Oreochromis niloticus: one gene and its partners. The protein of the gene in region 1 interacts with the protein of each later gene in a pairwise test. Links are inferred from orthologs where the notes say so. Each region holds a gene or a part of one and is shown in the gene's direction. Other genes may lie near its edges. The genes, in order: cep70, gcc1, KAT8 regulatory NSL complex subunit 1 and zgc:100829.

Region 1 (7,003 bases):
GATTCTAAACTGCCCATAGGTGTGAATGACTGTCTGTCTCTATGTGTAATGGTCGCTGGGATTTTCTCCAGCTGGTACTTAGTTACTCAGTAATTCAATAATTAATTCCTCCAAACCATCAACGTGTCTTTTAGACCCCATTCCTACAAAACTGCTCAAAGAAGTCCTGCCATTAATTAATGCTTCAATCTTAAATATGATCAACCTATCTCTAATAATCGGCTATGTACCACAGGCCTTCAAGGTGGCTGTAGTTAAACCTTTACTTAAAAAGCATCTCTAGACCCAGCTGTCTTAGCTAATTATAGGCCAATCTCCAACCTTCCTTTCATATCAAACATCCTTGAAAGAGTAGTTGTCAAACAGCTAACAGATCATCTGCAGAGGAATGGCTTATTTGAAGAGTTTCAGTCAGGTAAAGGTTGATCTTGTCACGTCCGTTCCAACAAAGTGGCAGTGACAGATTTTGACTGTTCGTTATCTCCATGGTTTTAAACACACACCTGTCTGTGAGGCTTGCTCCCCAGTCTTAAATTTGCTGTGAGTAGTTCACCAGGATCCTTCTGTACGGTAGAAGACACCAGTGAGCCGTGCTGCGCGAAGCCGATCGGCCCATCGACCTTTACGGCCTCGTGGTGAAGCTTCTGCCGAACATATTTTATCTTCCCAACCATTTTAATACCGCCGAACCAACTTTAAGTCCACTTCTTACACGAACTCCCTCGTGTTGATACTTCCATTCAAGAGCGTGCAATGTAGGTCAAGTCGTCTATGCTAATACCGGAAATAGTTCTGTTTCGCCTTCAAAAATATTTTCTCTCCTTTGAACATGTTGCCTCAAGCAAGGTTTTGGTATTTCACTAACAGAAAACACGCCGCGTACTTAACTTCCCCCCTGTTATCGCAGCTGCCATCGACGGTGTTAACACTTTAACTGACTTAGAGAGCGAATAAGGAGGTTAAACATATTTTATTTTGGTAATAACTACCGGAAGTAGTTATAGTAGTTCTGAGACGGCTGGTGTACCAGCTTAGTGCCTCGGTGTAAAACGAGGAGGAGTGAAAGTTCCTAGTCATACTAATTTCCAAAAGTTATGTTCTCCAAAACTTTAAGATGTATGTGTATATATATATATATATTATATATATATATATATGTATACATATATATATATATATATACATATGTATATATATGTGTGTATTGGTATAATTTCCAAAAGGTTTAGTACCAAGTTATTTTATTTCTTTTTTTCTTTACCTTTTAGAAAATAGGAAAATAATTACTTCCTTAAATTTGTTGAATAATTTGATTTGATGAAATAAATATTTTGTACACTCTCCTCGAGTTGCAATGTTAACTATTATTTTTATATTTTTATTCTGATACGTATTTTTATATTTTATTTTCTATTTATACGATAGTTGGAAGTAAGCCACAGAGGTAGCCAACCAATTCATATTCACATCATCTGCACATTTAAATTCAGTATGACAAAACATTTATTTATGCGAATAATTTTAGTCTTCTTAAATATAACTCACGAAACAAGTAAAAGTACAAATGTGTATACGTTACAGACGTCCTATTTAGTAATTGTGCATGACAATTTTGGAATGGTTTGAACTGTGGGTTAAAGGAGAAAGAGATTAGGGACTAAAGTAGAGGACAGAGTCAAACATCACTGACACAGTCTCTCCCACATGAAGTCCAGGTTGCAGGTTTTCCTGTGTGGGTGACTGATGTGCTGCCAAAGTCGTAAAATTCTCTATGACTATGGTAGGAACAGATGTGGGTGTGTCCTCATCTCCAGAGAAGTCCAAGTTGATCAAACAAACCTACGCACAAAGAAATGAATAGAAAATGTAAACATCAGCAAAGTATCAGCAGGGATTTAATAAACCAACTTTATGAACTCTGTGAGAATTATTTCCCTATCATTTACTATTTACATCACAGCATTCAGGGCCTTTACAGACACAGACCTTACAGAGCATACAAAGAAAATAAATAAACTCATTCAGTTTCAGCTTTGGCTTTTATTACATATGTTTTATTAATATCTTAACTTCATTATCTGTTGTTTTACCACACATTTGACTAAGTATAGGTACTTTAGGTGCATATGGTTAAATGCTACTTATTGTAATATACTGAAGATTCAATGCAAAGATTCAACTGTGTTAGAGAGGCTAAGAATGAAAGTGTGCACTCGTGTAATGAAAACAAATGAACTTGAATCAATACTGTCATCTCTGCTCTTTGCTTTGTCACAGAGCAGTAATTAGTGATGGGAATTCCGGCTCTTTTTAGAGAACCAGCTCTTTCGGCTCCCAACCGGCTCTTCAGGTTGTTTTGTTGCTTTAATTAATTTATTATCAAAAACAATGTAAAATTATGCACAAAAGAAATTACTAATGTAAAAAAAAAAAACTTGGATTTATTTATATGTTTACATATAAATATATACGGTGGCCCCTAGAGACAAAGCACGTACAAACTCCAAAACACATTGCTACGTTAACTAACCTTCCTAAACAGAGCTACCTAGATCACTTAAATTACACAATTGAAAGCATATGTGTATTGTTTGTGTATTTATGCACAAGCACTCATAAAAATTCAAATAATTAAAAAAAATGTTCATTTACCTGTTACTACCACACACCAAATCCGGTCGTTGGTACTTCTTGGCTTGTGTAGCCACTAGGTAACAAAAGCTCAACACTGCCCCTAGCGTCCTGGAGCACTTCTGTTGTGTTTTGTATGTGCTTCGGAGTTTGTACGTGCTTCGGAGTTTGTACGTGTTTTGTCTCTTTGTCTCTTTTATTTATTCACTCCACATAAAATGTCAAAAATTAATTATAAAATACAAAAACCAACTATTTACATTTCAACTTTTAACAATTTACATTTTCAGCTTTTTCCTTTTAAACAAATTTAAAGTGAAACAAAACAAAACACTGCAAACCACAACACAATTAAATATAAATTAAAATATGAAAACAAAAAGAAGATGCACATTCTCTGTCATATGGGGCTGCATGAATAAACTTTCTGAATCCTTCATCATCTGCCACTGAAAATAGTTGTGGATGATTACTATACCTTTCTAATGTGACGTTGTTGTCCCTGGCTCTCTTTCTCTGTCTCTCCCTCCCGCTCTGTTCCTGTGCAACTGCGAGTGTAACTACCGCCCCTCCCCCCTCTGCTCAGCGCAAGCACAAGGCTCGCGTGCGGAGAGAAGCGGAAAAAAGTGCGAGAGAGAGGGTGAGAGAAAGAAAAGAAAAAAACACGGCTCCCAATAAGGAGCCGGCTCGCGTCGTTCACTTCAAAGAGTCGGCTCTAAGAGCCGTTTCGTTCGCGACCGACACATCACTACATCGCGCACTTATTTGAATGACGGAAGGAGCATATTTTCTGTATGAGATGACTGAAAATGAGCAAAGTGTACATCAACAGCTGGTAACTTGTACTAAAATTATCGGTACCAGCCTTCTTTGTTCACTACATTAATATTTGCTAAGCTAACGTTCAGGGCCAACGCTAACTTGTTAGCTACTAGTGCTGCTAACACTGCCTGTGCCTGTTTGCTTGATTAGGATTATATTTTTAACTGGACGTTTATTTATCGACTTTTTACAGGAAGTACTTACAGTAAGGACTTAATTTAACCACTTTAGGAAGTCTAAGGTGAATGAATGTGGTTTGGCTGATTAAAGAATACATTAAACGAAGATTACCAAGTTGTGTTGAGACGCCAAAAGAAGAGCTGTTCACTGAAGCCCTTTGGACACTTGTTGATTTCTTTCTGTAGACTGAACCGATGAAACAGGTAAGCTACGTATTAAAACAGCATGATTAAGGTGATCCGAGGCTGCAGGGTTGTTGGGTCGCCTTTCATACACTGCTTAGCTTCAGCGACCACTCTCAGATACACGAGCTGCATTGTTAGTGAAAGCTGGGTTTACGTTGAGTGGGACGTTTTTACGCGTGGATATGGACGTCAGGACTACTTATGCTTTACAGTCAAGAAATCAAACATATGTTTATCTGTGGAGCTACAAGCAGTTTCAGGTAGAGCTGTATTTCTGTTAACTGGAAAGTGTTGAACTCCGCTGTCAGTGATGGTTTGTGTGTGTTGCAGCAGGAACAAGTGGAGTGGGATGACGTGAACAAACGTTTACAACATCATGGTTTTAAACCGGTGTTTTTTGCAGATCCCGCCGAGAATAAGAGTCCTGCAGGTAAGAATAAAAGTACGAGTATAAGATAGACTTTATCAAAGGTCACGTGTTACGGTGGTCGAAAGTGAACAATCGTATGAGGCTGAAAACTGTAATAACTACAAATGGAAACAAAAAACAGAATTTAAAACGGCTTACTCAGCTGACTAAAGACAGGATGTATAAAGTGGCTCAACAATATAAAGTGTAGCTGATCAATGCTGTTCAGTAAATTAAGTTACTGTGTTAAATGTCAACAGATTTAATTTACATGCAACTTTAAATGAAAAGAATGATTTAAATGGTCTTTTTGTTGTTTACTTCTCTATAAATTCTACCTTGATTTTTAAGCAAAAATGTTTGGCTTTAAGAGGCTAGTCAGTGTGATTTGATAAGTAATGTATACGGCTGTCTGTGTGTTTGTAGATTTGGTCCTTCTGGACAAGAAGTCAGCTGCTGAGCTGAGGACAACTCTGAGGATGATGCTCACAGACTCCGAGAGAAGGCAGGCCCTGATCCAAGAGCTTGTTATGTCCAACAACCAGCTCAAGTAAGTTCGGCACTGTGTAAGAAAAATTCTAAGTGATAATGTGATGTTATTTAGTGATGTTTTCAGTGCAACATGTTTGCAACTATCTGTTTAAACATGGAAACTGTAAATAGCCCCCCCCCCGGACATTATTGCAGTCACACACAAATGTCATCTTACCGGACTGAACCTCAGACTGTCCTGTAACGTGGGTAGGAGAGCTGGGGTCTGTTTCAGTGACACATGCTGGATATTAATAATGTATATGCAGTGTTGTGTAGACCACCTGTCCTGCTGTCATTTAACCTCTCCAACATCAGATGAGTATCAGGAACACACATGTCTTGATCCTCACAGACCAGTACAGGCATGAAATGTGAGACTGGGTGGCACACTGCTGAGATGGAGTATGTATGCTCACCAAGTGTCAGGCAGTTTCTGTTGGTGCTTGGCTTTTCTCCAACAGTTCAGCTCTATTCAATTCAGTTTTATGTTTATAGGGCCAAATGATAACAGTTTCCTCAAGACGCTTTATATTGTCAGGTAAAGACCCCAAATTAAAACAGAGAAACCCAACAATCATATGACCCCCTATGAGCAAGTGCTTGGCGACAGCGGGAAGGAAAAACTCCCTTTTAACAGGAAGAAACCTCCTGCAGAACCAGGCTCAGGGAGGGGCGGGGCCATCTGCTGTGATTGGTTGGGGTGAGAGAAGAAAACAGGATAAAGACATGCTGTGGAAGAGAGACAGAGATTAATAACAGATATGATTCAGTGCAGCGAGGTCTATAGAAGAAAGCAGTCCTACATATTTGTTTAATATGAAGGACATATCCTGGTCAAAAATGACTCCAAGGTTCCTCACAGTGTTATTAGATGACATGGTAATGCCATCCAGAGTAAGAGTCTGGCACATTCCTCTTGGTACACATGCTCTTCTTTCCTCACCCTTTGAGATTTTAACTTGTTGATTCTGTTTTAAGAATTTTACGTAGAAGATTGAAGTTATGTTGCAATAAAGTATTCGGTGAGCCTTTCAGGACCTTCAGGACTACACAAACTGCAGTCAGCAGGTGCAGAGATGCTTTGCTTTGTGTGTTGTTAGAATGGAGGTTCAGGAGCACATGAGCCGAGCAGCTCAGCAGTCTCAGAGGGTCACAGAGCTGGAGGAACTGTTGGAGAAGGTGAAGACCAGAGTCCAGGATCTGGAGGACCGCTACCTTAGCAAGGCAGTCCAGCAGCACAGCCACACACAGCAACTGCAGAAGGAAAAACTGGAAGCACATGTGAGTCATTCAGTTTTTTATTTCACACTCCTTTAAATTTCACATTAACAAAAGGGCATTTACAAAGAGTCAAAACAAACGGAACAAGCACTCAAAGCCACAGTTACTTCTTTGTATTCTTTTTCTTTCAAGCTCCAACTCAGCACCAAGTTCATTAAATTTCCTTTGGAAGACTTAGTCATAATCATGCTGAACAGCTCTGTGCATGTAAAACACTGAACAAACACTATAATTCATATAAGCAGACGTCTCCAGGTGTCTGCTGAAGTTTACATGATGTGAACATATTATCTGTAATGAACAAAGATATTCCCGAGTCCCCAACGTTAACATTGAACCTTGAGCTGTTTCCCTAACATTTAACAGGCTACCCTGATCTCTTTAAGATGAATTTAGGTGTTTATTTTCATCAACTGTATGTTTTCTTATAGAGCACACATTTAAACATTAATGTTTCATGTTTCAATGGTTTGCATTTTCTGTGTACTGGTAAAAGAAAAACCTTCTGCATACTTTCAGAGACGGTGTGAGGTTCTAGAGCAAAAGCTGTTGAAACAGAAAGAGGAGGCAACCCAGCTTCAGAGGAAACTCCATTTCATCACCAAAAAAGAAGAGCAGCGATTGGCTTTGCAGCGTCAAACCTCCCAGCAGAGGTCTCCTGCAGATCAACAGTAAGAACTACTTTATTTGAAAACCCCACACACAAAATCATTGGACAGTGTGTAAAGTCTGTTCTAGACTGTCTAGGGTAGGGAGCAGTCAGCCATACGGTTGTGCAGATCTGTAGAGGAGGGCTCATATCAAATACTGCTACAACATGGTTTTTGTAGAATACCAATAGAAAGTGAGCCTATCTACATCAGTCAAGCATGGCATGTTGTAGCAGGGCCCGTGCTCAAAAGTCAGGCCCGTGCCCCAGACGTGCTCAGACATGCAGACGGGAACATGCTGTGAGTTTTTG
Region 2 (7,276 bases), on another chromosome or scaffold:
GTCGCACAGGTGGCCTGCACGTGCCACTGAAACACACACAGATCATCACAGGTGAGTGGGCAGGTACAGGGAGCACACACAAGTGAGTTTAACTGTCTAAACAGATTTAGCTCCATAAGTTTGTGGACAGTGACATCAAGACCCCTGAGTGGATTTTCTAACAACCAATTAGGATGCAACTATAAAATTAAAACCCAAGGGTTCCACCCACTGGCACTGACATCACAGATTACCAGCAGAGGGAGATATTTTATTTCAAGCCAACATGAAAATACTCGCGATTACAAAGACATTATTAACACTTTTACATGTACATCCATATCAGCCACCCAACTTAATCGATTCTGATGATTAATGGAATTATTTTGCTCACTACCCACATCTTGGCTTTAAATATATCATTTCCTCCTGCTGGTAGTGCAGATTACTGCAGCTTCAACATGAAGCTTTGTCGCGATATTGGGTTGGCTGATGTGCTCAGAGCTCCACCCCCAGACCAATGCTGTGGGCTCATTTGAGGTCACCCCACTGTCTCCTGTTTTGTATACTGATTGACTGATTATTGATTTCACAATTACAGAACTGAGCAAGAAAAACAGCTGAGAACTTAGATCATCAGTCAATAAACCATGGAGGGAAACATGAGAAACAGAACTCAGTCTGTAGTACTGATCAGTGCGGATGGGTTATTGATCCTTACGGTTCTGCTGCGCAGGCTGTGCAGACCCAGCTTGTCGGTGAGCTCGCTGACACCCATGGCGTTCGGGAGATCCTGTTTGTTGGCGAACACTAGAAGTACCGCGTCCTTCAGCTCGTCCTCCTGGACCTGCACAGAGTCATGTGACATACAGTCAGTGGTTACCATGACGATCATGAGTCTAATGATGCGTAACTGTAAAGTGATCAAAGGGACCGACCATCTTAGAGAGCTCCTCCGCCGACTCGGCGACTCGCTCCCTGTCATTACTGTCCACCACGAAGATCAGACCCTGTGATCAATACATCAGTCATCGATACAATTAATACATCAATACAGTGATTAATGGATCCTGCCCACAGTGAAAGTCTGTGCTGTGTGTGTTGTGCTGCAGAGTCAGGGATCTAAAATAAGCTCCTCAGGTGTTTCTGAGGGGGAATGCAGCCGTGTTAGGACTCATGTTTGACTTTGTTGATTTTCCTGCAGCACCTCTGTAAAGCTGTGGAAACACAAACCTGACGTTCTCACAGCACTGAAGAAATTGTTTATTTAAGTTCAGTTGCTTTTCTTACTGAAAGTTCGATTAAAAAAAAATATTTATGCTTCAAAACGTTTCTGAAGCAGTTCCCAGACTTTTTACTGATTATATATTTAAGCCGGAACATCTGGAATGAGGATGATGTTGTACACTGGGTTGTTTTGCTGCTTTATTACTGTTCAATAAAACATTTCTTTTACTAGCATGCATATACACATAAATGTCACTTCTATTTGTACACACGTTTGACATTCTTCTATGTATTTTATACTTTTAGATTGTTTTATATAGAATTATTTCAATGGACAGCAAATCCACTGAAACTTCATTCAAATATGCACTAACTGTTCTGATAAATTATGCTATTCTATTCTACTCTATTCTATGTTACTTATTGCTAAAGAAGAGCTTTATGGATATAAAGATATGATCAGATAGAGGATATAAATGAGGATTTTACTATAGATGAATATCTCAGGACAGATCAGATCAGTGAGGGGTCACAGAAGAAAACTTCTCATGAATGCCCAGGTAAACATAACTGAACCAGATCAACCTGAACATCTCGTTCCTCAGAGAGAGAAAAGTCCCACACCTGCCTGCACCTGAGAGTTCTGCTTCTGTACCTGTGTGTTCTGGAAGTAGTGTCTCCACAGAGGTCGGATCTTGTCCTGACCGCCAACATCCCAAACTGTGAAGCAGATGTTCTTGTACTCGACTGTCTCCACGTTAAAGCCTGAACACACAACCACACACACAGAGTTGTGAACAGGTGACTCTTTGTCAAATTTAAAAAAAAAAAAAAAAAACAGCTTTTAATGACCTTCAAACATTCCAAGTCACAGGAAACAGAATCACTGACAGGAAACTACACATCCCATCAGCCCGCTGGGAACCAACAATAAATATCACAGTACAACAGTGACTGTAACAGTATATAAAGTTAGAGTGAAGCAGTAGCACTGAAATACCTGCACAGAGGAGACACCTGTGTAAACTGAAACTATAAGACTGAGGATGACTTGACTATAAACGTTGATGTTTCATTTCTCCATGATTGTAGTTTTAATGGTTCCATATCTATAGCTGTGTAAACGCTGGTGGTGTGTATAAGTTTAGCTTGTATTTACCTGCTTTAAACGTTTGTTTTCACCATTGTAAGTGTGTGTCTGCACTTTCATCATTTATGTTTCTTGTTTTGGTACCTTATTTATTCAAACTAACAGGTGACTCTTATTCTAAAAGGTCACTTGACCTGTAGACGCAGACGCAGGAGAAGTTTAAAGAAAATAGTGCAAGTGCCAGCACGCCTGGGGAATCCTCACTCAAACCGATCAGATCTGATCAATACCACGTTCAAACCACCTGACTACACAGTCGGCTGATTATTGATCACATGACCTCATTTGGTCCCTGAGTCCTGATGACGTACCGATGGTGGGGATGGTGGTGACGATCTCTCCGAGCTTCAGTTTGTACAGGATCGTAGTTTTTCCAGCAGCGTCCAAACCGACTGAAACACACATCAAAGATTAATCCCAGATTAATTAAATGTCTCACAGTGGTTCAAGTTTAACCCGAGATTACTTAAACCTCATACAGTGAATAAAGACTAATCTGAGATTACTTAAACCTAGATCAGAGTCCAGCTGCTGGTTTAAAGCTCAGATCAAACCGGGTTTAATGGTTTTTATGGACTTAATAAGATGACACCGGTACAGTTTTAGGTTTAACCCCAGATTAAAACATCTTAACCCAGTTTAACCCCCGTTTAGACCCCAATTTAACTCGGTTTAACGGACTGTTATCAGCCTGCTTCCTTCCGTTAGCTCCGAGCTAACAGCCTCTTGCTTCTCCGAGCCGGACTTTTGCCTCTCCCTGCACGGGAAGATCGGGCCCGCGGTCCGCAGGACTCGGTGAGCGGGTTCCTGGTAAAATGAGACGGTGTGTGGTGCTGGTGAGCCCGCGGAGCCGCTTGCAGCCGCCCCGGAGCCCGGCCGGTTAGCCCGTTAGCTCGTTAGCCTAGCCCCCGCTTACCCATCAGGATCCTCATCTGTTTCTTCCCGAACAGTCTGGAGAACAGCGACGAGATTGTGAGGCCCATGGCTGCGGAGAGGAGGCGGTGGCAGGTCACACACTGACGGCGGGTAGAGCCGGAGGTCCGGGAGCAGCAGCGGAATGGAGCCGAGAAGGCGCGGAGCGGAGCGGAGCGGAGCAGAGCGAACTGAGGGCGCAGCTCCTCTCGGTGCCACGTCCAGGCCAACGCGGAACAAATGACGTCACTGCTGCGCTTTAAAAAAAACAACAACTTTATTAACAGCATAGCAAACACCGCGGCGTTCACTGTCCGCTCAAACACCGTACATTCGAGCTCTGCGCATGAAGTGAAGTTCATGGGCTGCGAGGAACACTCTCGGCTCCGGGACAGCCATTTATATTAATACGTTTAATTTATATGTATATATGTCACTATGTTCACGTCATTATACAACAGAACATAACAAAGTGAAATACACACGTACTGCTTCTGTGACAGTGCTAAAAACATATATGTGTGTAGAATAATAAAGCGTTTTCTATTGAAGAACGGAAGAACAGAATTTAATGAACGGAATCATGAAAATATTTTCAATCAATCATCAACCAACAAAGTTAAAATTAATTTCTAATAAAATTATTTTTTAATCTAATAGTTTATTTCTAAAATTTGTACAAAATAAGAAAAAAATGTTTTTCTCCCAATAAACAATCAATTCAAAATACTGTATTGCTTTCAGAAATGTTAAACATATTAATAATAATATATATATATATATACATATGCTTTATTGGCTGTGTTTGGCTGTTTATTTAATTTAAATCAGTGAGTTTTTAATTTAAATCAGCTAAAAAAAAAAAAAATCATCCTATTGTGCATTTTCCTGACGTCCGTGAACAAAGTAGTAAACTCCCGCCTCCTCCGTCTCAGTCACTTCCGGTTCGGTCCAACATGGCGCCTGTTGACAGATGAAGCTTTGAGTCGGATTTCACTCATCGATTGGGTCGATTATTGACCACCTGTGACGGACAGGTTGCGAGTTTGTGATCCACATCGAACCGGTTTGTCGGCGCAGTGTGAGGAGAGACGATCAAAGCGGCGGAAAAATCAGTCAAAGGGAGAAACAAACACTGAGAAAGAGAAAGAGGTGAGAAACTGTTTTACTCCTCCTTCTTCTTTTGTGTTCCAGCACAAAGTTTCAGCTTCACAGAAACCATCCATCGATAATTGATCGATGAGTGATCTGAACAGCTGTTCTCTGTTTCCCCTCTAACAGGAAGTCAATGCTAAGGTTCTGTTCATGTTCTGGTGTCTGTGATCAGAGGCTCACCTGGACAGACCTGGTCAGACCTGGACGAGGTCATGGAGAAGTTCGGGATGAGCTTTGGTGGCGGTCCGAGCAGGAAGGAGCTGCTGGACACGGTGGAGTCCCAGAAGAAGCAGCTGATCCAGTACCAGACCCGCTTTAGGGATGTGGTCCGGGCCTACAAGAGCCTCCTGAAGGAGAAAGAGGCGCTGGAGGCCAGCCTTAAGGTCCTAAGCGTGACCCAGGACCTGGACCTGACCCAGAAGGGTTCGGCCACCGCCACACCGGAGCTCACCGAGGATGGCTGCTCGCTGCACAGCGAGGACAGCGTGGATATGGCGGCGTCTCTGGACATGGCCAGCGAGACTACAAGAGGCGACCAGAGTGAGGAGGACCAGGCAGAACTGGGAGGAAGGCTGGTGGTACGTTACTTTGACAACTGAACTTAAATCACCAGAACACAGTCAGAACTTGATGACATCATCATCATCACCATAACGCTCTGATAATGTCATGTCTTATTCTCTGACTCCATGTTTGTTCTGCAGGGATCTGAACCCGATGGCAGCTCTGAGAGTGGCAGCGTGGGGACAGAACAGCAGCAGGCTACGCCCCCTCCCGGCATGGAGGCAGACCGTAGAGTCGCCCAGTTGAAGAGCCAACTGAGCACGCTCACAAGCTCGCTGGCCACGGTGACGCAGGAGAAGTCGCGAATGGAGGCGAGCTTCCAGGCAGACAAGCGGCAGCTGAAACAGGAAGTTGAAGAGCTGCAGGAACGTCTGGTCTCCATGACAACACAGCACGAGGCAGAACTGCACAACCTGCAGCAGCAGCTCGCTGAAAGTCGCGCTCGCATCATTACGCAGCAGCACGAGCGCGAGCAGGAGCAGGGGGACCACGCTCAGCAGCTCCGCGAGCTACAGAGGCTCCTCCAGGCCGAGCGAGACCTCCGCCAGGACGCCGAGCTCCACCTCCAGGATGCCAGCACCGCCCTGCTTGTGACTTCACAGGCCGTGGACCGGGGGGCGGAGTCCGAGGCTCTCCTGAACCAAGTCAAGGAAGAGAGAGACGAGCTGAGGCGGAGGCTGCAGGCCGCCGAGGAGGAGCAACGAATACCCGACCCCAGAGTGGACGAGCTGCAGCAAGAATTGAACAAGCTGAAGAACCAGGTCCAGGAGCAGGTCCAGCTTGAGACCCGCAAGGTGAGCCCAGAACCAGGTCCCACTAAACAAAGTCCCAATAAAACAGGTCCTAGGGAATCTGGTTTAACCACATTAAACAGCTGAAGCTCTAACAGACCAGGTAAACTAGAACAGGAAGTGAGGTCATCTCTGTGTTCGTGTTGCAGGTTTGCGATGCAGAAGAGCGTGCTCATGAGCGTGCTCAGTTGGCTGAGGCCCGGGTGGCGGTCCTGGAGCAGCGTGTATCGGAGCTGTCAGAGCTGCTGGGCTCGTGTGAGAAGGCAAGGCAGCGTGACCAGCAGGCAGCACAGAGGCTCCGTGATCGCGTGCTGCAGCTCGACACGGAGAACAAAACACTCGCCATCGCTGCCTCCAGCCGGGCGACCTCTGACCTCGGGCCAGATGAGCAACTGGACGTGGGGGCGCTGCGGGAGAAGCTGCAGAAGGTGAAGAAGCTGCTGCTCCTTGCGGCTCAGAGGAACCCCGACCAGAACATCCAGGACTTGGAGGTGGAGCCGGGTTCAGATGCGGCGGCGGCAGCCCTCGCTTATCAGCAGGAGCTGCGGCAGCTGAGGGATGAGTTTGAGCGCTACAAGGTGCGTGCGCAGGTGGTTCTGAAGAACAAGAACACCAAAGATGGCTGCCAGGCGCGGGAACTGGAGGAAGTCCGCGACCAGCTCGCCGAGCTGCGTGAGAAGTACATAAACCTGCGTGTGCAGAGTGACGAGGCCGAGGCCCACCACCGCCAGCAGCTTGATGAGCGCCAGCAGCAGGCAGTGTCGCTGCAGCAGGCACACCGGCAGGAGGCGGAGCGTCTGGAGGCACTCCACCGTGACGAACTGTTGCGACTGGAGGCAGAGCTTCACAAGCAGCGTGAGCGCACCATGGCGTTGCTGGATGAGAAGGACCGCGAGCTGGAGAGGCTGCGGGCTGCTGCCGCCACACTCAGCTGGTCCAACCGTGTTGACAACACACCCACCAACCCTCAAGAGAATGGCCCCGACACAGAGACCGACGCGATCAGCCAGGCGCTGCGGCAGGCCACACCCAATGAGTCAACACTGCTGCTGTACGCTGAGCAGCTCGCACGTAAGGAGGTGGAGGTGGGCGCGCTGCGGCGGCAGAAGAACCGACTGGAGGAGGACACGCGCCAGCTGCAGGAACGACTCATTGCAAACGCAGAGCATCATGATGAGGAGGTGGCAGCCCTGCGTGACCGCCTCGAAAAACTGATCCGGGACCAGAGCCGCGAGGGCGCCAACATGGAGTACCTGAAGAATGTTGTGTACCGGTTTCTGACGTTGCATGACGCCAACGGGCGCCAGCAGACACTCACTGCCATTCTCACCATCCTGCACTTCAGCCCGCAGGAGAAGCATGATGTCATGAGGCTGCAGGGCAGCACCTGGTGGATGGGACGCAGGTAGAGTACCTGAGGAAGAAAACACTTCTGCAGCAAGAAGGAAGGTGCAGGAAGAACACCTGGGCATCTGAGCCAGTGAAGGCGTGGCTTCGT
Region 3 (7,993 bases), on another chromosome or scaffold:
GCTGAAATTGGACTTTCTGTGAGGAGTCTTTGACTGCTCCTCTGGGTGTGAGATGGATTTTGGTGCAGCATTTTTCAGTTCATTAGTATTATAGTTGAAAATATCCTTTTAATGAAGAATATGCTGCAGATATTAAACAATTTTGCTCAGCGGTCTGAGAAAAGTGATTATACAGAGTTAAATCTACCTAAAGAGGCGTTTAAAGGAAAAATGTGGGAATTTAATATTTTTTAGCTCAATAAATACTTAGAAACACATTTAAGTAAAGGATTATATCAAGCTGTTTTGTAGCTGAACGCACTTATAATTTTTCCTGTGGTTAACTATAACTGCAAACTGCTGTAAGTAAATGAAGATGCAGTTTTAATGACATAAAAATGTAACAGAACTGAATTTCATCCCCCTATACATGTTTAAGACTCGCCATGCATGCAGTCAGGCATTATATGCTTGGATGCTGATTATAAAAGCAAATTAAAAGTAGCACATTTGTGCATAGTGAATATCTGAGTGACAGTTTTACAGGGCCCAGCTTCAGTCAGGTGATGTGTGTGATGTCTCAGCGCCATCTAGTGTTGTTTCCCTATAACTACATTTACATGTTCCTATGAGGCCAACACATCAGATGAACCACCGATGGTAAAATGAGGTAAAGAAAATGAACTTTCCAGAGGATTAACTGAAATATGCTCCTCAGCCCAGAGCATTATGATAACGGTATCCTGAAGACTAATGGTGTTAATTCTCAGTTAACACTACTTAAGTTGGTGTTAATGCAGATAGACAGACACCCAAACCATTTAAATGTCAAAACAAAAACATTTTGTGACAGCCTCCTATTAGGTTTCCTGTTTCTATCACCAAGTGAAGAAACACTTGATTTCTTCAGCTGTTCTTCCTTTACTGAATTACTGTAACTTGCACTTTATGAAAATGATTTTTTTTTTTTTTTTGGTGGGTGGCTGTGGCTCAGGCCGTAGAGCTCATGGTTTGATTCCTGTATCCCTGTACCAAAGTATCCTTGGATGTAATACTGATACAAGTGAACCCCTGGGTGTGAATGTTAATGAGAAAAGCTTGTGTTAATGGGCGAATGAGGTCAGTTGTATAAATCACTTTGAGAACTTGAGTAGAATAGAAAATTGCTCTACAAGAACCAGCCCACTTACTAATACATTATTTGGAGGAACATATTTTTATTAAACAGGCTTATTTATGTGACCCATTTAAATCAAACTGGACTTTATGCACTTGTTTGTTTTATTACTGGCTAAAGCAGTCTGGTAGACCACCACTGTTCTCTGTATGCAGCCACTAAACGGTCATTCCTGTACGTCTATATGTAAACCTTAGACTGATTTAAAATCAGTACAGCACTCACACATACGAGTTTATTTATTGATCTGATGATAAAGTTTTACTGAAGTTTCTTTATTTGTTTATCTGTTTTAACCCTGTTGAAATGATGTTAACACTGTATTTATCTGATTGTTTAAGTTTATAGTTGTTATAATCTCAGCTGCCCTCTTGTCGGCATATCTTTTGAAAAATCTACTGCACAAATAAAGGATGTGATAAATAATAATAAGTAAAACATGAACTTCTTGTGCCACTGTACATAATCTAAAAGTGCGTATGTGAAGCTGGGTGGAAGGATGAGCTGAAATGAAGGTGGAAAGGTTGCAGAAAAGACAAAGAAAAGGAAGAATTGAGAAAACTGAAAAGGTGAAAAAGATAAAAACAATGATAATGCAGCTGGAAAATGTGAGCATGTCATGTGAATAATAAAGTGTTTTCATAGTGCAGTGAAGTCCACGTAAGGTCCTGTTTAAAATTTGGTGGATGATTTCAAGAAATTTGACTGCCCTGTAATATATCCAGGCTGTCAAACATCCAACACGGGGCTCAGAACAGGCCCTCTTCTTCTTCTTCTTCTTCTTCTTCTCCTTCTTCTTCTTCTTCTTTCAGGTATTTCCTTTAGGAATCACCACAGCAGATCCTCTGCTTACATCCCACCCTATCCCTACCATCGTCCTCTGTGACCTTTCTTCATGTCTTCCTTCACAACATCCATTAACATCCCTTGAGGTCTTCCTCTTCTCCTCCTGCCTGGCAGCTCTATCTTCAACATCCTTTCTCCACTATATCCACTCTCCATCCTCTGCACATGTCCAGCCCTTCTCAGCCTTGGCTCTCTAACGTTGTCTTGAACTGCTCGACCTGAGCTGTCCCTCTGATGTACTCATTACTAATCTTGTCCATCCTGCTCACTCTCGAAGAAAATCTTAACATCAGCTCGGCCTCCAGTCTTTTTGTCAGTGCCACTGTCTCCAAACTATGCATCGCTGCTTGTCTTGCTACCATGTTGTAAACATTCCCTTTCACTCTTGCTCCTTCTGGCACAAATCACCCCTAACACCCATCCTCCACCCAACCCACCCTGCCTGCACTCTCCTCGTCACCTCCCTTGTGCTTTAGATGGTTGACCTCAGGTATTTAAACTTATTCACCATCACTACCTCTGCTTCCAGCAACTGCACTGTTACACCTGTCTCTCACTCATTCACCCAGTGAAGCTCCTTCTGACCTTCTCTATACTTCTCCATCATCACCTTTCTTCTTAACTTAGCTTCATCAACTCTTTCCTGTATCTTCATGGTATGGTTCATCAACTTCCTCCCTCTGCAGGTCCTACAGCTCTGCACATCGCCCTTGTTTTTAAAAATCAGTACCAGTACGCTCATCCTCATTCCTTAAACATCCTGGTTAAAATGTCCACTGCCCTCTCTCCTAGACATCCCCATACCTACAGAAGTATGTCATCTGGACCAGCCACCTTTCCAATCTTCATCCTTTTCATGCCTGCCAAAACTGGACCACTGAATGGCTTTCCACTACTACTTAAGTGTCAAAATTTATGGGAAGTCAAAAGTGTTTCTAGATGTAGACACGTTTTTTGAGTCATAAAGACATCAAGTAGTGTTGTATTCATTCTAAAGTTTAATGTATGTCTCCATGTGATGACAGCAAACTCAGTGAATGCTCAGCTGAAATTGCACCTTTTCATTTGTTACAAGAAAAAAAAATTAACAAGAAAATAATGCCTGGTAATATTATGTCAAATTTTCAAGGGAGAAGGGTAAAGGAGGTCTTGCACTCTGGTCAGGATTCCAGCTTCTTAAATTTGGACAGGTGCACTTTTTTATTAAAGGATTTTCTGGGTCAGGCCCACAGTTTTGGTCTGTAGGGAGTTAATTTTTACCCTCATGCTGTAGATGTATTTGGTTTCAGAATAACAGACGCATCTCATAGATGTGTAGATAAGTGAAGCATGTGTGTCCCTGAAGTTTTGACCACATGACCATCAATGAGCACACAATATTCCAGATATTTCTCTTTTACCAACAACAGTGAGGTCGAGCACTGATGTTGGCTAAGGTCTGCCTCACATTCGGAGCCAGATTATTAATTTACTGGCTTGAATAGAAATTCATATTTAAATTCAGTGCAGTGTAAGAGGCGTAGAAGATAGCCATATATCAATTCAGCAGCTGAGGAATGAAAAGCCTTGGCAATGCGAAAAGCCTCAAATACCTCCTCAAAAGATGCATTTTTCTAAATGTAAATGGTGACATTTGAATTAAAAAAAAAGAGGAGAAAAGGATGCTTACAAAGTTCATACAGTGCAGTGGTTAAACATGTGGCCCAGGGGCCAGAACCAGCTGCCAAATGGTCCCACTGGTCCCACTGTGAATTCATTAACAACTGCAGTTTTTCAGTAAAATGTGGTGATGCTCGCCTGACTACACAGAAATGAAAATGCATGAAAAGGTACGTTTTTCAAGTTGTTTGAACCACAAAACTGTAAAATACTGAAGCAGTATACTTACAAAAACTCCAGATGTGAAGTTTTTTCCAAGGTGATTTGCAAATTGTAACGCACATGTAATTACACTGTACTCACTGAATGCGGAGTAACTTGGATATATTTTTATTTTTGCATTTATTCTTTTAAAAATTGCCTTTTGTGGTTGTTTTTAATAGAGTGGGGTATGGGGACCTGCTTAACTCTTATGGTTTCAGCTTTTTAAAATCTTGCCCAGGTGACTGCGCTCAAAGTCTGCTTCTTCACGCTTAAAGAAAGGGGAAACTTGTCAGTGGTTTTACTGGTCTGGCTCGCTTGAGATCAAACTGGGCTGCATGTGGCTGCTGGGCTAAGATGAGTTTGACACCCCTGCTCTAAATGTTGAAAAGGCTTCACCCTCAGCCAGGCCTCTGCTCCTGAGTCATTTTCACTCCCCCTGCACGTACCTGAGAAAGGTCAGATTTAAGCTTTACTGACACAGCCCCACAGTTTGTCCCTCTGCAATGCTAACCGCTGGATTTTCATGCAGCCAGCACAATGCTGCCTCACTGACTTATATATCCACCCATCCTGTCTCCGTTGCCTGCAAGTAAGCATCAGCAGCTTCAAGTGAATCTCCATTCTTGTGAGGGATTTACCCGCTATTGTGCCTTTCACCGGTGAAATATCACCCCGCCAGCTCTTATCTGCTTAAAAATACGATGCAACAGAATATAGTAAACAAACTCATGCGCTGCCATTAGCTTTATGTTTGCGGTTTTTTATTGTGCAGTGAAAACCAGTGGCTCATTTCTAAGCAGTAGTCCCCAAAAACAAAGCATCAAAATGGGAGACAGTGTAGTTAATTTGAGTGAGAACAGTCGTGTAATGGCGCAGTAAAAGGTGTGCTCCATAAATGACGGGTAAGTTGTGAAACATTTTCAAATAAAAACAATATATTTTGGGATAATGAAGTTTCATGCTATGAACTTTCGTCCACATTTCCGCTGTACGGGCATTTGCAAAGACTGACATCTGCAGGAGCCAATAGAAAGCCTCGAACTGGACTCTCGACCAATAGCAGCGCAGGGGGGGCTGGTATTATGGAGTCGTAAACGGTTAGTAACAGGACAAGCAGGTAAGTAAGATTTTGTCTTGTTATTTTCTTAAAATAAATGAACGCTCCGCTTGGCAGGAAAAAAACACACATTCCGTTAAGCCCCCGGTTGTTTGGCTTGAGCTGGCGGAGTTTTTAAGCGCACTTTTCTGCTAAACGTGCAGCAGTCATTGAGAAGTCAGAGTGGGATCGGGAAGCAAACAAGCTAGCGAGCGTTAGCATCTCTTGCTAGCTCAGCTGGCTGCTATCTGGCAGCCTGGGAGTTCCAAACATTAGCCTGTTAGCTCCGCAACTGGAGAAACTACTGTTTGATTATGGCATAAATCTCCAGTGGCGCATTCCTTCACACAGCGTTCAGTGATGGAGCCGCTTTTTTGTAAACTTACGTTTAAATTTCTACACCGCTGTGCTGACATTAGGCGACATTTAAAACTTTTTCATTATAAAAATTTGCAACGATAACGTTAGTGGATGTTAGCTTTAGCTAGCGTTAGCGTGGCAGCAGGACATTCAGATAAATAAATAAATAATAAATAAAAATAAACAGCTGGGGAGACGCTACTTAAGACCGAGTCCTAGAAAAAAAATAGGGGGGTGGGCGAAGAGGGTATAATTCAGAAAAAAACGCTCAAATTCCGAGATGTAAGTCGCGCATTAACGAGAAAAATAGGAGAAATAGTGTTTATTTTTAGTCAATGAGCGACTTTGCTTCACTTTTGAACATTAAGCTTGAAAAAAAAATCAGAAATTTGAACTCCTTGTAATAAAAGACCAATAACACCTCCTTCCAAGTATGTTGTTAAGGCAGACAACAAGCTACAAACTCATATTCACTACGCTGCAGCGCAGGTCTACGTGCAGCAGGCGATGGGAGGAGTGCACGGACCCTCAACAGTGTACAGCACTGAAAAACGTCATGTATACATACATACGTCCTGCTTCGCTCTCATACAGTGCCAATTTTATATCTATTTGTTTTTTTACTTACACTGCGCCTTGTTTTTCATATAATTCTGGCATTGTTTTCATTTTTCCGTTTTGTTTGTTTGTTACATTTTTTTTTAATTGTCCCAGATTTGCAAATTAATCCTAATTCTCCGTTGCTTTTCTATTAAACTTTCTACAGGTTTTTTTTGTGAATATCCCTTTTTTCCTTCTTTAATTTGCATTTTTTTCCCCTCAGAAATTAGCCACACGTTTGTTGTGTAAATTAGCTGTTCTTTGTGTTAAATTGCCCCAAATTTTAAGGGTTGTTCTGTCCATTTTTTACTGGGCAATTTTCCAAAGTTCCACAGTTTTTTCCCCTGTAAGTTTGCCATTTTTTTCCTCAAAATTTTGCCCCATTTTTTTTCTCGTTAATTTACAACTTTTTTTAGTTAGTGTAATGTGCTGATATCGATTGATTTATGGAATTTTTTTTGCCAGTTCCAATTTTCTTTCTCTATAGCATCAGGATTGGCATTTAGCATAAGAACTGAAGTAAAATAAAAAGTAAAATCTGCCAAATCAACAACATGGCCCAACAAGGGCCTTGTGAATAAGGGAGCAGCTATAACTTGCAACATGTACAAACAAAAAATTCCACAAGAGTTAGAGGCTCGTACATCACCTAACCCTGTATCTTTTCCTACTACGCCGTCATAGTTAAATGTATTGTCTGAAATTTTTAAATACGATTCAAGTGATCTTATTTTTTGTTTGTTTGTTTGTTTTGTTTCATTTTAGGTGTCATGTTTTCATGTGTGGAAACCGGAAAAATGATCCCTTGGATTATTGAATGGAGTTCATCGACAATGGAGTTAAAGGTATAATTGTTATATGCATTTATCTTTATTTTAAAGCCAGGGGGTGCTGCAGCCACCCTATGGCTTTGGAGATAAGATCACATCAGGGATATAAGTAGCCTGGATTTTGAGGACCCGAGTGAAGAGCATCTGATTAGGATACTCTGTGGACATGTCCCTGTGGATGTATTTTGGTCAAGTGGGATGGATTACATATCCCTGGAAGTGTGGGAATCCCTTGAAGTTTGCAGGGATCGCCTAGGAGGAGCACAAGGAAGTTGAGACATCTTTGCATCAGCTGTAACGTGGAGCAGGACCAAATGGATGGATGGGTATTTGCCAGTTATGACAGTCACAGATCGGCCAGTTTGTTTTGTTTTAGTGATGTTTTTAGTTCACGTCCCATGAAGACCTGCGGAGGTCATTTTAGGTTAAGACAAAGCAACAACAAAAGGAAGAAGTAATATTAGGAGGTGAAAATCACACTTTTAAAAGTGGTAAATAAATAGGAAATGGCAATCACATTTCCAAGAAAAAAATGCAGAAATTCTCAGAAATGAAACTAGTGACAGGACCGGTTGACTGAAAAAGTTAGGCTTGTAAAAAGTGTAATATTCTTATAAAAACAACAAACATTTTTTGAAAATGATATTCTTTATTATAAAAGAAAAAAAAATTCAGAAATGATCAGAGATTAAAGCCAATCTAAAATTACAGATTTTCCATCTAAATTTATCACTATAACCATTAAAATTCAGTTATATTTGTTAAAAATGTATTCTCTCTGCAACACTCCATTATTTCCTCCTTAATTTTCTGAACAATCGCTCTCTTCCTCCCTCTGATTTACACAGACACACAGATAATGAAGTGTTTGCAATGCATGTCCTTTCTGGTAGTCTGATCATGCTCAGAGACCAGCAAGACCTGTTAGAATAAGTGAGGTGCATTCATCTTATTACTTAACAAGCATCAGGAGATCAGAGTTACTGAAACAATCTAAAATCACATATTTTTCCATTTTCATTTATTAATGGGTTTAAATGGCAGTGAGACAAGAGAAGATATAATGTAACTTTGTAAACATCTCAGCTCAGTTTCCCAGACATCGATTGGAGCCGTTTCTAGACGAAAACACTTCTCAGTAGAGAACTACGTTGAATTTCTCTTTTAGTGTGGGAAAATGGCTGTCAGTGTGCAACGAGTCGTTTATAGGATTATCTTCTGGTGCACAGGATGTTATTAAAA
Region 4 (8,094 bases), on another chromosome or scaffold:
ATCCAATAAGTACGGTGTGTTTATGAGGGTAAGCGAGGTGAAGCCAACGTACCGCAACTCAATTACAGTGCCCTACAAAGTGTGGTCCAAATTTGGGAATACTTTCTGTAAATATGCCGAGGAGATGAAGAAGATCCAGGAGAAACAGCGGGAGAAAAGGGCATGCGAGCTGCAGCAACAAGAGGAGATGCAGCAGGACGATGGAGACGAGGATTGATATAGACAGCAAACAAAAAAAGAAAAAAAGAGCGAGGAAAAAAACATGCCAGAGTAATGAAAATAACAAGAGAATTATAATTAAAAGAAAACACTCTACTGTATAATGAAAGAAATCTAAAGATTTAACTGTATTGGTTTAACCAAGGGAGCATCACCCACAATATAAGAAACCTCCACGACCTGACAGTTATGACATGTTGTCACTCATCGCTGGATGTTACCCCACTTAACCACCATTAATACAGTAACAGGCTGCTAAACAAAGTAATAACATTATATTTGAACATTGTTTCCTACTTGACAAACGATATTGAACTGTTTATTTCCCTTATTAACAGAAAACTTTTGTACCAGTCAAAGCTATTGTAAAGAGGAGAGGAAAAAAAAGTGTTTGCAATGTTCAAATTGAATGATTGCCGAGTTCAAAGGAGAGACAAAAAAAAGTTTCCTTCTCATGTGAGTTAAATGACTTCAGCACAAATCAGATGTTTTAATTTTTAAACCAAAATTCCAAAACTTTGTAAAAGGTTGTCACATGTACTTGCCATCCTATTTACCTTTACCTGTGAGTAGAGAGGTGTTTACACATAAATCATATGAGGGCTAGGCCTGCTTCGGAAACTGATAAGATTTCATGCAGTACATATATATATATATATATTAAAAAAAACAAAACAAAGGAACGTGTAGGCATTTTCATGAAATGAAATAAGTGCTCTATTTATTGTGCAATATGCATTGCATATAAGGAACTGGTCATTGGATCTTGACATTTGCCAGAGGCATTCAAAGATATATTAATATTGTAACTTTTGTTTCAGTTGAAATTGTTGCCATGCAGATGGATATATAATAGACTACCTTTGTGTCTCGTTGTTAATGCAATGTGTTCAGTTTAAAGGTACTAAATGTGTATTTGATAGAGGAAATGCAGAGACAACATGTAGCAAATGGCCTGAACTGCAGATTATTTAACAAGGCAAAAGACCCTGAATATACTGTGTTGATTGGCATGGTAAAAACCAGAAGAGCGCAATCGGTTAGTACATATGAAACAAACTTTTTGTGATCTTGTTTAGTCATAAAAGTCTAAATGGTGCCAAGGAGTGCTGTTGCTGCATGTTTATCTGCACTACGATTTCGTTGGTCTCCCAAAATATTGGCTCAAAGACCCTTCCATACGTATCTTTATCTGCCTATGTTGTATGAATCTCAAGTTCGAGGACTGGGGGGGGATTACCATCCAAAAGGCTCGGTGTAGTTCTAGTGGAAGTTGTTTCAAAGCATGATTGTAAAAGCAGCGACCTTGTGAACAGTAATCGAAATGTCACCATCACACTATGAGGAGGGCCACTGAGGCGCTTGCCTGGCTTAGCCGAGGTGAAGACAGCCTGGTTCACCTGTTGGTGAATGTCTGTTATGTCATTGGATGTGCACATTCCTTTCTTGCGTTTTAAGATCTTAGGGTGTGAAGTTCAGTGTGGGGCTACTTTGGATACATTCTCATAGCTCTGCTTTAGATTTGTAAGCCCAAATACCCACCTGGGGTGATGAGATTCTGTTCTGGTCTAATTGTAAATATTTGGGCTGCCACACGGAAAACAACTGGTTCTAATCCAGTTCAGTCGCATCTCATAGATGTGTGATAGCAGTTTTATAAACTCTGTCAGTAAACTCCAGAGAAACTGGCAACAATCAGATAATGTCAGATTTACCTCAGCATTGAATTAAATGATTGCTCCCATGTTTAGATTGACTGGAAACCAGCAAACTAGACTGTCCTTGACCACCTATTTTTGGAGCCTTTGGTATAGCCTAAATGATACCTGATTGGGAGCATCCTCTTCAGCATATAAACAACCTGGTGCCTTACACACTCCGCATGCTTACACGCTGGCCTGGTGCTTTGGATCGCAGTTATGGCTTCTTTTTGTTTTCTTCTTCTTCTTCTTCTTCTTCTACTTCTTTTTTCAAATCTCCTCTTTCTTCTATTTCTTGTGTCTCAGCCCCCTTGTGTGCTAGCGCACGACTCGTGGTGCTAAAAGGGTTTGTTACAAACTCTTTAGAAAAATAGGAGCAGAATTCTTAACTTTTTTCTGCTACCTTTCAGCTTCCCTCCCCTCGACTTTATTGCCATCCCCATTCCCTAGCCATCCAGGTATCGGCCTACATGTAAACATGGAAGGGGGTGGTCACCTAGATGCAAGATGATGCAGAAGAGATGGCTCTTCACCAGCCATGTGCATTAGCAGGGAGAGCAGGGGCTGATTGGGAACATCAGTAGTGGCCTGAAATGGTATCAATTGTTACGGGAAAGCCCCACCCCACCCCTTAAAATGCTCGTTTTATGGCTTGGGTTAGTTATGTGTAAGTTGTAAGTTGCTCAATTAATGGGGAGTAGCAAGCATGTCTTGTTTTGTTTTGTGTTTTTTTTTTTTTTTCTTTGTTTGTTTTTTTTTTTTTGTTTGTTTTTATGTAGTTTTACCTTTTCAGCATTATTCCACATTATTTGTAATTTTGGAATGTTTTTGCCCACAAAAATATCTTTTTTTTCTTTCTGTGCAACATTTCATCACTGTGTGCAATATCATATGTGCCAATGGTGGCAATATATGTATATCAATTAAATATATGATTACTATTTGAAAGCATATGGCTGAATTCCATGTTTATTTCTCATGAAGGAATTGTACGCCTTTATTTGCACACAAAGCTCCATCCTGGAGGAAAATATAGTAAACCAAGGTCTTAGCAGCCTGTTGAGTCAAGCAGTTCACGTACGTACTTTAACTTGAAATCGAACATTGTCCCTGCAAGTATGCCCCTCTCAAGGAAAAGGGTAAACTTGGTTAATGGTTTGTTCAAGGTAGACTGTAAACATACAATGGAGTTTTTTTGTTTGTTTGTTTCTTTGTTTTGTTTTTTTCTTTCTTTTTTTTTTGTGAAAAGGAAAATTTAAAAAGAAGAAAAAAAAATCCCTGGAATCTCCATTTTAGCTTTAAGCTAAGAAAAGGTGCTTCAGTCCAATCCTCATTAAGGTGTATGGTGAACTGTCTTCAGTGGTTGTTGTGTGTAGCACTTTGCTTTCCCAGGTTAATGAAATGCCTGACCAATACTTGTTTAAAAATGATCTCAACAAAGAATGTTGTTCTCTTTTCTGTTACCTCTTTTTATTTAAAAAATGAGGTTATTTGATTTGCTCATTTGGTTTTTGATGCATTCAATATAATTTATGTACATTTGACAAATTATAAAAAAAGAATAAATTTAATTTACCCATGAGGGGGAAAAAATCTACATTCAAAATGTATGTGTTTTTCATGTTTCATTTCTTGTTGTGGGATGGGGGTGGGGGAAATCACTGAAAAGTCTGTTTAATTTTTATGTAGTGTTGTCTACAATGTCTGATTATACATTTGCAATGATACTAATTGCTAAAGCTTAATTTTACAGCCTATAAAATGCAAATTTTGCAATGGCGAGTACCTGATGACTCATGTCTTCTTAGAGATTTCTACAATAGTACTGTATGTGTAAAACCAGGCTGTAAAATAAAGCGTTACTTTGTTCTCTGACTATCCCGACTATGCAATTTGTGATCATCTGTATGCAACAGTTGCTCTTCTGTGAGTTTTTCTGTTAATCTAAAAACCAAAAAAATAAGACTTTATTGATCGTGACCCAACAGAACCTGCACATGTTTTAAGTTAAATTTTTGTAATGATTGTTTTTCTTTCTTATTTTTTTTTCTTTTTTAATACGTTTGGTGTCGGATTTAAGCTAAAAATCAAAGTTAAAGAAAAGCTTAAAGTTGCTTCCAAATGTTTTTAGGATGCGTCTCAGTATTCTTGAGTTTATAGCTATTTATAAGTAAAACTGATTCCCTGTAACAAGTTGAAGTCTTGGTTTAATTCTGTTAATAAAATGAAATGACATAGAAAATGTTAATTATCATTATGTAAATTCTGAAAATTGGCCAAGTGATATCAGCAGCACCCTTTGGGTTGCTTCTAGGTCCTAAATCATGGAGCATAGAGGCAGATTTATTTCTGGGCCATCCACATGGAGTACATTTGTATTGCTTCAACCAGTCTCCTATCAGCAGAACCCACATAAGAGTAAATACAGCATAACGAGCTGCGAGGTCCATTCTCTAGACATGCCCAAATGGTATTTCTCCAGGACATATGTATGTTTGTGCTTTGTTGTTAGTTGATAGTCCCAGCCTGCCGGATGGGATGGAGGGTGAAAGAACTGAAGTGGATGTGCTATACCGAGATGGACTCCAGCCCAGATGCCAGCTTACACTCCGACTTTGCTCCTCATCCCAGAATCTACACAGAGAACTGGTCTCTGTCGTCACAGCATGACTAAAGCATCCAAACAAGGATAAACCCCATTTAATCAAACAAAAATTCCCTTATTAAACATAAAACACATTGTAAAGTGTTCTGATGGTGTTTAGTCTGATCCAAGGTGCCACACTTTGAATCTATGAGAGAACTTACATTTTATTAATTTTGAAACATGACCATTATCACATGAGCACTTTGTCACCGCTGACTATAACAAATGGCTTGCTACAAAAGCATCCTGCCTGTCGTTACCTTTCAGGTGCAGGTGTCTGCATGCATTGTATATTTACGCTGTTTTGCAGTTGAAATTTATGGAGCCATGCGGTCAGTGTGCACAAGCACCAGTTTTTATCCAGCTTTCATTTAGTGCTGTAGTCTGAGGTAGTTGAGCACTGGCTTGGGTGGTGACGTAATCCATGGCAGGCTCCTTTTCTTTTTTTAAAATCACAGTAATTGCTTTAACCACTAGAGGCCGCTCTTTACCTAAAAATGAGTGGCTCATAAGCAGAGGAGGACAGGCTTAGCTGAGAAAATTTCCTCTGGCTTGAATGTGCAAACTATCAACAGACATGGTAAATTGAACAGCAAACAGTTACTTGCATAAATCCTAGAAGGCACATCGGTTGTTTCACATAATGCTAGAAGCTGTGCTAAAGTTTTGGGTAATGCTAAACGCAAACGTTAGCAAATAGCATTTCTTAATTAAAAGGCGTCGTTAAAAGGGAAGAAAATACAGGAGGAAGGGAGCTATTTTTTCTTTGTTGCATTTTTTTAATATTGTTTGTGTAGAATTATATGTGTAAGCGAAAATGTTTTGAAGATATGTAAAATACGTGTGTTATGAACATGAACGCATGCCTTTCTTTCTAGCATATTTAAAGTGAGAGTTCAACTTCCTGAGAGCAACTCAGGAAGTTGAAATGTGGCCTTAAATGTAGCCTTAGTGTGTGTGTGTGTGTGAGAGAGAGAGAGAGAGAGAGGCTGTCAGAGAGAGAGAGGAAGGGAGAGGGAGGTAAAGAGATTATGGAATGCTGTGATGTCATCAGCTCAGTCATACACACAAAGACGAGGAGGACCCACAGGCGCTGTGACTCCCTCAGCTCAGTTAGCATACTCTGCTGTGGAGCGGCTGTCTACATCCCACTGTGAGTACTTCAGCAAATTCTAACCTTCTCTTGCAACTCCCTTTTTGTTTTGTAGCACTCATTTTCTCCACTTCACCCCCTCCCCCCTGTTTTCTTTGGTTTCCTTCTCTGCACCCTGCGGTGTGTTTAGCAGACACCAATCTGTATTCCACCAGTGTGATAGTTTTCAGTCTGAGACGAGCTTTCTTTCCCTCCAAGTGCTGCCTATGTGGTAGCCATTGTTTAACTACCCACTGTGACTGGAGGAGTCCATTTCAATCCTCTTGTTAGACAACCTGGCTCTCGCTGTCCAGTGCTATGACCCAGATTTTTATCCCTCATTACAACCAGACACTGGCCATGTTTTAAAAAAAAAAAAAAAAAAAAAAAGAGGCGGGGGGCCGCTATCTTGTGAGAGTTTTAGAGAGAAACGAACATGGTTTTGGGGAGAGGAAGGAGCAGGGTGGGACACTGATGTCAGAAGCAGTCCCATTCCTTTGGAATCTCCTCCCATTCTGGGTAGCAGACTTTCTGTAAAGTGTTGAAATTGGCTTTGGGCTCTTCCGTATTCATGCAGGGAAGGACAAGACAACTGCCTTAGATATTTCTAGGAAATAAGAAAAGAAGTTTCTTAAGAAAATATGTAAGACACTGCAGCTTTGAAAATCATGCAAGATGATCTTTACTGTGTGTTTTGTTTTTCTCATAGATTGTGCCAAAGATGACCTCCAAAGAAATCTGACATCTTGATGGGGAAACTGAGCACAATATAGAAAGGAAGCAGGATTTGTGAGTGTGTGTGAGAGAGAGAGAGAGAGAAAGACAGACAGACAGAGTTTGTATGTGTGAGATAGTACAGCCTGTACAAAAGCATGTGTAGAAAGAGCAAGAGCCTTAATTCATGAGTTCAAGAGTGACTATAGGGACAAAGAAGAAGCTACAAAAGTCCTCTGCTGACATGAGACCATAAATCATCCTTACACACTGTACACTACGAGAAGCAAGCTTCAACTGCTTGCCAAGTGGTACCAGGTTAACGCACCAACCCTTCGGCCGCCAACATGCTGCAGCAGATCTTAAAGGACATGTACATTGACCCTGAGGTGCTGGAAGCCCTTAACGAAGAGCAGAAAAAGACACTGTTCCTGAAAATGCGCCAAGAGCAGGTGCGGCGCTGGAAAGAGCGGGAGGAGAAACTGGAGAGAGAGGGGGGCGACGCAGAGTCCAAGAGAGCAAAGCCAAGAAAAGGTAACCACACTGATCCATCACCACCACAGCCGCCACCTCACCCTTTTTAACCTTCCCTCTTCCTGTTTATCTCGAATCTGAAGCTGCAGGGTGCAGCTTCAGGTTTTTCAGGCCTCCGACTGTCACGTTTTCACAAAGGTTCCACAGGAAGCCATCTGTTTTCTTCTGAGCAAGCGCTTTTGGAGTCCTTGGAGTCGAGATATATGAGTAGTGTGCTGAGAATTATCCGATAGAGCGTTACAAAGCTTGATAAGGGAACCACTGAAGCATGTGTACGTTGGCTGTGACAGATATCCTAAGCTGCTGGAGTTTGCATGCTCCCAATTACCTGAACAGCTGTTTGTCAAAACATGAAGTGAGCATCAAAATAAGTTTTGTTTTGTTTTTTTTTGGGGGGGGGGTTGTTTTGTTTTTCTACAGCTCGTCCTAAACTATTGCAGATCTTTATTTAAATATCTGTTATAATTGCACTTTTTATTAAATGCTTCACCCTCCACAAGGTGAAAATAGTTTGACCGTATGGTCTAATTTCCTTGTCTTCTGAGCCTCATTCACACAGACAGAAACTCTAAATTAGATCATTTTATTTCCAATTGAAACATTGCAATGTGAGGTCCCAGATGTTGCTCATATCTGGAATTCTGTATTTGATGACAAATAAATGTCAGAAGAAAACATCCACAGGACAGGAGGAGATGGCAAAATAACGCCTCTGTAGGGAAATTTACAAGTTAAACGAAGAGTACATGTGTTTATCAGGTGCTGACATAAGATATGATAACAAATACTGTCTTTTTCCCCATACTTGGTAAATTCTTTTGCTCAACCTAGGTGGTGAGAGTATGCATGGGAAAAACAAAACAAGCAGAAACTCAGGAAGCTGCAAGCCTGTCGTGAAACTGGTTTGACAAAATCTTGCGTGTCTGCATTTTCTCTTGTACGTCTTTTGTATTAAGGACTTCTGGAAGAAGGGCGTTGCGTAACAACATGAACATAACAAATTGCTCTATCACCTTAATCCAAACAACAGGGGCAAAGTTAATTTATTTGGATGAGTGCAGCAGTTACTTAAACCACAGTGATATCACAGCATGACTTAAAGCCAGTTGATGATTGACACAGTGATGTGTTCTGTCTGGTCTTGGTTA

The links.
Region 2: the proteins of cep70 (region 1) and gcc1 interact in binary tests that used the Homo sapiens proteins (3 or more experiments, as listed by UniProt). The two-hybrid records come from large-scale screens. The link is inferred for Oreochromis niloticus from reciprocal best matches to the Homo sapiens genes CEP70 and GCC1.
Region 3: the proteins of cep70 (region 1) and KAT8 regulatory NSL complex subunit 1 interact in binary tests that used the Homo sapiens proteins (3 or more experiments, as listed by UniProt). The two-hybrid records come from large-scale screens. The link is inferred for Oreochromis niloticus from reciprocal best matches to the Homo sapiens genes CEP70 and KANSL1.
Region 4: the proteins of cep70 (region 1) and zgc:100829 interact in binary tests that used the Homo sapiens proteins (3 or more experiments, as listed by UniProt). The link is inferred for Oreochromis niloticus from reciprocal best matches to the Homo sapiens genes CEP70 and SH2D4A.

Annotation. Positions count from the first base shown.
Region 1 is NC_031986.2:2,891,999-2,899,001, forward strand, and holds the start of cep70 (centrosomal protein of 70 kDa), read left to right. Parts: upstream 1-3,949; 5' UTR 3,950-4,000; coding exon 4,001-4,078; intron 4,079-4,148; coding exon 4,149-4,248; intron 4,249-4,653; coding exon 4,654-4,777; intron 4,778-5,861; coding exon 5,862-6,042; intron 6,043-6,561; coding exon 6,562-6,713; intron 6,714-7,003. Other genes in the region: ribosome biogenesis protein SLX9 homolog, read right to left, coding at 504-674.
Region 2 is NC_031981.2:23,184,939-23,192,214, reverse strand, and holds the start of gcc1 (GRIP and coiled-coil domain-containing protein 1), read left to right. Parts: upstream 1-4,189; 5' UTR 4,190-4,420; intron 4,421-4,549; 5' UTR 4,550-4,635; coding exon 4,636-5,001; intron 5,002-5,127; coding exon 5,128-5,781; intron 5,782-5,927; coding exon 5,928-7,187; 3' UTR 7,188-7,276. Other genes in the region: ADP-ribosylation factor 4, read right to left, coding at 1-26, 701-826, 918-989, 1,862-1,971, 2,668-2,748, 3,273-3,339. UniProt on the Homo sapiens protein: Probably involved in maintaining Golgi structure.
Region 3 is NC_031973.2:4,611,027-4,619,019, forward strand, and holds the start of KAT8 regulatory NSL complex subunit 1, read left to right. Parts: upstream 1-4,911; 5' UTR 4,912-4,982; intron 4,983-6,686; 5' UTR 6,687-6,766; intron 6,767-7,993. UniProt on the Homo sapiens protein: Non-catalytic component of the NSL histone acetyltransferase complex, a multiprotein complex that mediates histone H4 acetylation at 'Lys-5'- and 'Lys-8' (H4K5ac and H4K8ac) at transcription start sites and promotes transcription initiation.
Region 4 is NC_031975.2:13,263,139-13,271,232, reverse strand, and holds the start of zgc:100829 (SH2 domain-containing protein 4A), read left to right. Parts: upstream 1-5,084; 5' UTR 5,085-5,719; intron 5,720-6,407; 5' UTR 6,408-6,759; coding exon 6,760-6,946; intron 6,947-8,094. Other genes in the region: puraa (purine-rich element binding protein Aa), read left to right, coding at 1-217. UniProt on the Homo sapiens protein: Inhibits estrogen-induced cell proliferation by competing with PLCG for binding to ESR1, blocking the effect of estrogen on PLCG and repressing estrogen-induced proliferation. May play a role in T-cell development and function.